Arabidopsis thaliana: one gene and its partner. The protein of the gene in region 2 interacts with the protein of the main gene of each other region in a pairwise test. Each region holds a gene or a part of one and is shown on either strand. Other genes may lie near its edges. The genes, in order: AT1G06790 and AT5G62950.

Region 1 (4,864 bases), on a different chromosome or scaffold from region 2:
AGGAGACAGATCTCAATGTCCACATTTTCCAACACCATTTCTTTATTAATACGATTTTCAAAAATTTGGTAAACATTATTGCCTCATCAAATGCCGAATGGAGAATAATGGGGTCATTTAGTAATCTGATTTACGTGGCACTTCTTTCTTTCATGGGTAGGTTGGAGAGAATTTAATTATCGAAAACTACTAGGAAATAAATTTGTCGTTTAGAGCATAATAGTATTAGTATGAGTTGATGAATCTGGATTATTGTTTAAAAAAACATAGGTATCATGGGAAAGGACAGAGATTTGTGTTATCAAGTGGGAGAGATCCAGCGTTAGTGAACAAAGCATCTGATTTTTTGAAAGACCATTTCATGGTCCCTCCTTATTGGCGCCAAGACGCAAACAAAGGGATGGTGAGGAACACTGACGGCCGTTGGATTCAACCTGATCGCATCCGTGCAGATGATCAACATGCTCCTGACATACATCAACTCCTCACCCAACTCCATCATCCATCACAACTCTTGTAATTTATCGATTTTTTTTTGGTTTTTAATCTTCCTAATTTGTGTCATTGCCTTTTTACATTACAGATAAACAAAATTGAACGTCCCTATCTTAGTGAAAACCCGTGCATAGTTTAAAATAAATTTTAAGTTTTCATCAAAACTGGCTTGATCATCATCTGTTAAAATTTCATCTGACAATGCCTAGACTAAGTCTCGGTCTCTCACCCTTCTTGATCAACCTGTTCATAAGAATCCCACCTGTTTCGGTCACTCACTCTTCTTGATCAACCTGTTCATAAGAATCCCACCAAGAAACAGGACCCAAACCATCATCATCCATATTCCCCTGCGCAGTACACAAGATTGATTGACCACTGGACCGACGTAGGAAAACCAAAACAAAAAATCATGGTGTCTCAAAATAAAAGTTAAGTATCTATAAGAGAGGAGGGAATCAGGAGGCTTATCTGACCTTACTTAACTAGCGTTGTTTATAATGCATATACAAGTGGAAAAGTTTCAGAGAATGAGTTTGATGAATGAACTTACAGTGACCACCATTGGAGCAAAAGGCTTTGCGTCCTCTGCTCGCTCAGTTGGAACTGATGGATAGCTGATGCTCTCTACTCGAAACTTGATCTGCCATTTACAATGCCTCGTTATAAAAACATACCACATTCAGATAATTATGCTTAAAGATACATGCAGGAACCAAAAATTCACCTGACAGGCATCGTCAACAATATAGTCTTCTTTCGGTTCTCCATATTCCCACACCCATATCATTTGCTTCCTGTGAACCAAAAAACATTATACTTTGTGATCAAATGATATATAAAGATGTTGGTGCAATCTCCTACTCATAGTTGGAGAGCTGGTAGTACTACATAAACTGCAGGACACATATTCTTACCTATTATAAGGGTCAGGCTCACAGCGGTTGGGTTTCGGCATAAGTGGAGCAGGCACATAAATATCGTCAAAGAATCCAAGTGTTACTGCCAAGTATAGAGGTACCGTAAGCATGTAAATGATTAACCATATCCATGATTTCAAAGTATTAATCCAATTCATAAGTAGCTAATAAGCTAACAATGTACTAGAGTAGCAGGATGCAGACAGTGCACAACATTGGAATTCTTCAGGGAACAGTATAATAAAGTACTCACAGCGCAAGCCATTGGCGTCAGATTCTTTGAACTTTGCAGCTATGACCTCACCAACAAATGGACGGAACACAACAATTCTAAGACCTACCTACAATCACACAAACAAAGTATTAACAACACGACATGAGATATTGAATCAAGGCAAGATAAAACTTTTGAAAATAAAATTCTTAACCAAAACCGTACAGTGAAAGTTAGACTAACAGATAACGATTCCGAAGAACCAAAATCTCAGAATGGTTTGAAACTCTAGTACGGTAATGATGAGTCTACAAAGATGTAACTCAATACAGTGCAGAAAGTGTGCAATACACGGTGATAGGTCAACAATGATGCCACTAACAGTGACATTGGGAGGCCATAAAATTGATATAAAAAACCATGTTCAACTGATAAAAGAATAGAGATGAGAAAAGATCAGCAATTTGGATATACCTTATAGGTCGCAGCACCATCACCGGGTAACACAAACCCTCCTTCTACTGATTTAATGTCGTAAATAGATACACAAAGCCCCAAATCAGCTAAAACCTTTCATAGCAAAAATCCACTTTGATAAAATTAGCCAGGTGTGTATATAAATAAGCAAACAATGGATACCATAAAAGTGAAAGAAAAAGGGCAATGAGCAAACCTTGTCCAAGAACACATTTTGAAGCACTGACTTAATGGCATCTTCGAGAGGGAGATTAAGTAGATGCGGAGGCACTCTTAGTGAATGTTCTAGCTCGCTAAGATAAAACATTTCTGAAAATTTTGTTCAAAATTCACAAGTCAGATGCATGGAAAATTGGAAACAAACAATCAAAGAAGTAGAATTCGAATAACGAATCAGACAAATTCGGAGCATTCTTGGTCATTAACATGCATATCATCAAAAGTTCCAAAATTCAAATCTAAAATTCATTAAATCATAGTACGTAATAATAGCCCAATCCTCAAGATTAAGCATGTGCAGAGCGTACAAAAATCTGCCATTGTCATAACTATACGAGAGAACAAAACTATCTAAAATCGGGCAATACCTAAACCATTGAAGATAAGATGGTCTCGAAGGGAACTCGGAGAGATGGTGATGAAGACAACGATTAGACGGAAAAGTGAGAAGTTGGGAATAGATTGGAAGAAGAGAGAACCTACTAATCGAGTGAGGAAGATGCGGAAGAAGAAGAACGATTTAGGGTTTAGTTATTAAAGTCAAGAATTAAAACAAACCGATCGGTTTGTCATCGTTACGCTTATAAACCGAACCGAACTGAAAACCGCACTCTTTTTATTCATACCGGTGGGCCAAAAAAGGAAATTGGGCCAAGTCCAAGGTATGACAACAATCTGTTGCTGTCAGCCTGTCACTATAGTCTAAGTAATATTAAGCTCTGATGAAAAGTGTGAAAAAAGAAGAACCAAGATATACACTGATGTGGGATAAAGAATGAAGCTAATCATAACATTGATATCATGCTTGAGTAGCTTGTTTAACAAAAAGAATCTGAAACTGAACCTAAGTTGCCAGATTTTTTTTTTTTTTTTTTCGTATCAAGCTTGAAGATTGCACTGTTGCAAGTAGGTGTGATGGTAAGGGACGTGTATGTTCCAGTAACGTTTGTAATTCTCTTTTCCAATGTCCAACCACGGCTTCATGACCCCATCGTAGTGTATAACTGCCGCTTGTTCGATGTCAACCGCTTTGACTCCTGATTCGCGACCTAACCCCATCACATGCCATCTCTTGTCCAATGCTAATGTTTGCCTATAGAAAGTCAACCAACCTATTGGTAAGCTCCCAGCTTTCCACAATGGTCTCTTTGTTCCCTGCCAAAAAAACAAATTCCCCAAAACCATTGTTAGGTTTACGCCCATTACATAGACAAGATATGTTGTTGCTTGTAACCATTCTTCTTCTAGGAGATGATCTTTAGCACTAGCTTGCTTATGTTCTTTGCTAGTTACAGCAATGTTATTTGTGTTCTAAATTCAAAACCTTTCATCCTCGATATAGCCAACCTAAAACCTAATAATTATTACAATCTTTTTCATATATAATGACGAATCAACAAATCTAAGAACCCATTTGAAAACTTTGAATATGGCTACAGTGTTATTTCCATAGGGAGAGCAAGTGCAGTAGAGTGTGTGTGTGTATATAGCGTACCAGGTTGAAGTATTTTATGTATGTAGAAGTCAACTTCCGTATTCTCCATTCTTCGAGATCAATTAGATTCATCCCGAAAGCCCATGTGCAAGCTCTAGGACTAAATTTCCCAGCGACCCATGTGTCTGAGAAATTAATAAATGTGCTCATTGATCGAAATGAAGATTCACCTTCAAGACAAGTCTCTACAGCTCCAACCACCTTTCCTTTCATATCAATGCTCCACAGTCTACTTAAATCTCTTTGAACAACTACATCATGGTCCAAGAGTACCATCTTGTTCAAACCCGGGAATATATCCGGGAGATAGAAGCGTGCGTGATTGAGTGTAGAAATGAATCTTGGGTCATTAGAGTTTTGCTTCATCAGTAATTGATCATAATCTCTAGGCAGGACATCCATATCATCAATGTTTAGGATTTGGATAGTAGCTTTACTTTGAATGTTTAGCAGAAACCACATTGAGATTGCTGGGTAATTAAGTGAATCAGTCACGACATGGAAGACTATTCTTTCTGGCTCCTGCAAACAGCAATCAGAAGCCACATTAATAAGTGGCGGAAGTAAATGAGAAGATATAGTGTAAGACACTCTAAAATTAGGTATAACATATAATGATAACCAAGTAGAAATTTGTATAAGAAATGCATGATACCTTTGATGAAGATATCGTAGAGTTAACAACGACTGAAGAAGCCAAAACATTGTCAGAGAAGACAACATAATGATTGAAATTAGCGTCAAAATAATTTTGCTGGTTAGGCATCTGCCTTTTTTCAGGATCCAGTGAAAAGTATTCTGATGTCAGCCGCATTGAGAGACAGTGAAGCCCTTTTGGGGTGGTCCTTGCTGCAAGCTGCATTAGATACGCTGCTTGATTTTTCTGCGCCTGAACTTGTTCTTCTGTGTTATAATTCATGGCACGGAGTTTGGTAGCGATGGCAGGGCAATTGTTAAAGACACGACTAGCCTTATATAACACATTTTCCATGGGCTTCACCCTGCGGAGAGCGCTGAAAGAAACAATCATGTCAGAGGTTACTA
Region 2 (4,205 bases):
TTGGATACTAAAAGAAGCATATCAGAAAACAAAAATTTAAAACTTCCTAACAACTTGGTTTTACCCAAACCGAAATAAATCACTTCCAAACCAACTGATCAAAGAAAATGATCTTCCTTTACCGGGATCACGACTGAACCAGCACACTAATGAACATAAACCATGTCTAATTGAGATCACAAACACTACAAGAGTATTATATTCAAAATTCTGTCTATGTATTTCTTCTTGAATGTTATTCTGATTATGCTTCAACTCAACCATATGTATGCGGAATTTGAATATTTCTACCATATATTTATCATTATAGCTCAGTGAAACAATGGAATGGATTACATATGCTTTCATAAAGGTTGAGATACCTATTTTTGCTCAATATCAAGATGTCAAACCTTATGCTTATCCAACGAAATTTGAAATAATATTCGACAAGAAAAGTATATTAAATAAGTTGTATTATTCTCCTTTAGTATAATTATAGAACATATTCCTCTACACTTTTGTGGGTCGTACCTCTATATTTTAAAGTTTAAATCATTTAGTATGGACCTGTTTTTTTTTTCTTTGTTAATGAATGGACGTAAATTGTTCGATCGATTATCTTCTTAACTTAAAAGATAACAAACTCAATCTAGTTAATAAGCGTTTAAGAGGATGGTTACAAAATCAAAACATAAACTCAACAACTTCATTAGCACGTCACGACTGTTCACCATTCTCTGTTTCTTCTTCATCATCATCTTTAGGACTTGCAGTTGTAGGCAGAGGAGGTAACAAATCCTTCACAAGCTCTAATATCCCATCAGTGTCGATTTCTCGATCATCCAGGTTCTCTATGATCTACAAGAGAGTCACAATCAACAAATGTTATAAACCATGAAGAAGAGAAATTAAATGCAGTGATAGAAATGGTAGTGTATAAGCTAGAAACAACAAACAAACCGGTAACAGTTCGACTATAGAAGAAGGCCGGAGATTGATGATATTGAGAATCTCAGCTTTAGCGAGTTTGAAATCTTTACACTTGTCTGCGAATTTGTTAATGCTCTCTCGTGTTTGAGTGGAAGCAGCAGTCTCCACCAAATAATCATAGACCTATAAAGATCATTCCAATTAGCAACAAAAGTGCACTCTTAAGACCAAATCAGAAGAGAGATATTGCAGGCAAGAGAACCTTGTATTCTGATCTAGCAATTGGAGCTATAACTCTTGTAGTATCTTTTGATGCACCTCTCGAGTTAAGAAAGTCAAGCACTTCGAAATTGGTCAGTGCTCCTGCATTTGCCTTGACTCTGCAACAACCACACCAAATTTTAACTACAAAAATAGAGAAGGAATCGAACAAAAACACAATGGAAGATGGATGATACATTTTCATCTCTTAGGTTGAGCAGAGAGACTTCAACCACAGGAAGCTTTTTCTTCAACCAAACGAAGTCGTTTTAACAATATGGGAAGAGAACAACACTAACGATGCTCCAAAATCAGAGTTTTTGCTCCTGAAAAATTCAATGGGAACATCAACATCAAGGAACAGATGATTCTCGTTCCCACAAATCATGATGCAATGGGAACATCAACATCAATAACGTTTCTAAATCGAAAATATTTAGGTCACGTTCAGTACTAAGCACCTTAATATGAATCAAAGCTTAAAGTGAAACCCTTGGATTCGATCAAAAATAATGACCAATTTAAGGGAAGAAAATAAGTACCTTCTCTTCTTTGACGGAAAGGATTAGTTCAAATACTAGAAGTAGCTCGCTGATTGACTCACAACACACAAAATATCAACGTCACGTAATTAAGATCAATTACTAGTTGGATTTGAGTATTACCAAAGCTACTAATTAAGATCAAACACATACATGAATCTGTAAAAGTAAAATCTAATACGAACCCAAACCCACCAAAATCTAACACCAACTCAAACCCACCAAAATCTAACACGAACCCACCAAAATCCGTCGATAAAAACGCCAACCCAGATCGCTATTTCGCTATGGTGACAAAAAAAAGAGTAGAATCAAAGAAAAAGAAGAACAAAAACTTCACCTTTAGGGATTGAAAAGTTAGGGTGGCTGCTCCTTCACCAAGCTCTGGAAGTTTCTGTTTATAGTCAGATCAATCCTTTGAATTCTTCAACTCTTATGGCTTCAGAGAAGTAATAAAAAAAAAAAAAAAGAGATCGAAGAAGAAGAGCGTTTGGGAGAAAGAAGAAGAAAGAAAGATAAAAAAAATGGAATAAAGAATAATTAAAAAAGTGTAATAGGGCCAACCCTATTTTAGCCCGTAACAATTTAAGTATAGCCCTATCTTAACCTAAAATCTTTTATTAGGGTTAGGGCTTATATCTTTTAACAGACTCGGGCCGGCCCTAAATTATAAGCCCATATTAACATCCCTAATTAGAGGAGCTCCTTCGAGGTATGATTCAGACGGAGATTGAGACCACGATTTGCTCCAGACGGTGGCGGTGAATGAATCGGTAGAACGACGTCGTTATTGTCAAAAGTAAAACCCTAGAGACCAAAAAATAAACTTAAGCTGGGCCTGTTTATCCCATAAAGAACATTTATGTGTTATTGCATCCACGGCCCTCTTCAGCTTGATGGGTTATAAGCCCAAATACATGTCCCAATGCTTGAATTGTTGTGTGTTTAGCGTTTGCTTAGTTATTTTTAAACTATGCCAAACGCTTGACTTGTTGTCTGTGCGTTTGCATTTACACTTTGCAAAAAATATGTTATAATTTCCGAAAAATATGATTTTAAAAAAAAACTTACATGTAACATAAATAGTTTGAAATCTTTCTAAGAAGTAACTTCATAAATAACTAAGGTGAAATAATCATAATCCTACTATATTATTTGGGAAGTACATTTTAAATGTAATCTTATTTTTTGTAAGTAATTACATAGGTATGCCATTAGAAATAAAATTTAAAGAGTAAATTAATTCATCTCTTTAAATATTAAAAAGTTAAATACTAATTTAATTAATTAAATTTAATTAAAAAACGAAATACATTATTAATTTTTTTAAAAAGTAACCAATTAAAATCAACAAATTAGATTTGATATCTAAATTATCATATTAATTTTTTATTAATTATTATAGTTCACCTCTTATCTTTATATGATTATATTTTTGCGAAAAAATAATATCATCGTTATAAAAAATAATTAGATTTTTTTCGCATATGCCATAATTTGAATTTTTAAAAACGAATATAAACTGTTCAAGACATGAAAAATACTATAACGGGTCAAAAATAGATTTAAGACAATTTTCTACTGAGTATTGGGTCATAATTTGCAAACTTTTATATATAATAAATAATTCTTAATATTTTAAAAATTACTACTTTCAAAAAAAAATCACGGGACGAGTAAAGAAATTACAGAACGGGTTTTATTTTGGAATAGAGTTATATGGTGGATGTATTTGAATCAATATTTATAAAAATTTAAAATATTATTAATATGATGTTTTAATAAGAGTTAAAACTTCAGTTTTTTAACAATTGTCTCATGGACTCGTGGTATAGCTTTCTTAATAACAATTGTAAACTGTAAAATATATATATATATATATTATTATAATACAATTTGCAAGTTTTAATATATATTACCTTTAAAAAATAAATCGTCCCGCGGTATACCGCGGGTTAAAATCTAGTTTTTTGTTTAAAATATATGTCAAAATTTTGTATGTTTAAGAAGAGTCTTGTAAACTTTTTGAAAATCAATTTTTATATATTGTATCATTTTTTATGCGGCGTCTCGATGAACGACAAATATACCAATACAAACCTAACTCTTATTTCTTAAGAATAAAAATCAATTCAGTTTTAAGCAAATTAAAGGAATTAGGACACATGATTCTTGCTTTGGAGAAAAAAGCACTTGAAACATGTAAGCTAAGCTAACTAACTGCCTTTTTTAAAAACCCCAATTTGGCAAGGCTCCTCTCATTGCCTTTAAAGCTCCTCATGCTTTCCACCCTTTCTTAAATCTCAAATTACATGTACTTATATTTTCTTACACATTTCAATATATATTTTGGTTTGTTATATAAACATCATCTTTTTGGTTTATTCAACATTTTTTTGCTTCTTCTTTTGTTTCTTTGTTTCTTTTTTTTTCTGCAGTCTTGCAAGAAATTTGTGAACCCATGGCAGGTACCAAACTCATTCTCTTATT

What was found.
Region 1: the proteins of AT5G62950 (region 2) and AT1G06790 interact in a two-hybrid assay, tested with the Arabidopsis thaliana proteins (one large-scale study listed by BioGRID).

Annotation. Positions count from the first base shown.
Region 1 is NC_003070.9:2,085,194-2,090,057, reverse strand, and holds AT1G06790 (RNA polymerase Rpb7 N-terminal domain-containing protein), read right to left. Parts: upstream 2,877-4,864; 5' UTR 2,694-2,876; intron 2,416-2,693; 5' UTR 2,414-2,415; coding exon 2,303-2,413; intron 2,200-2,302; coding exon 2,104-2,199; intron 1,757-2,103; coding exon 1,669-1,756; intron 1,498-1,668; coding exon 1,413-1,497; intron 1,293-1,412; coding exon 1,223-1,292; intron 1,139-1,222; coding exon 1,049-1,138; coding exon of another isoform or gene 1,019-1,048; exon of another isoform or gene 846-1,018; coding exon 771-845; 3' UTR 611-770; downstream 1-610. Other genes in the region: PLA-I{gamma}1 (alpha/beta-Hydrolases superfamily protein), read left to right, coding at 271-520; GAUT6 (galacturonosyltransferase 6), read right to left, coding at 3,205-3,480, 3,821-4,342, 4,476-4,833.
Region 2 is NC_003076.8:25,261,656-25,265,860, forward strand, and holds AT5G62950 (RNA polymerase II, Rpb4, core protein), read right to left. Parts: upstream 2,399-4,205; 5' UTR 1,716-2,398; exon of another isoform or gene 1,500-1,715; 5' UTR 1,379-1,499; coding exon 1,371-1,378; intron 1,293-1,370; coding exon 1,175-1,292; intron 1,096-1,174; coding exon 943-1,095; coding exon of another isoform or gene 868-942; exon of another isoform or gene 841-867; coding exon 700-840; 3' UTR 524-699; downstream 1-523.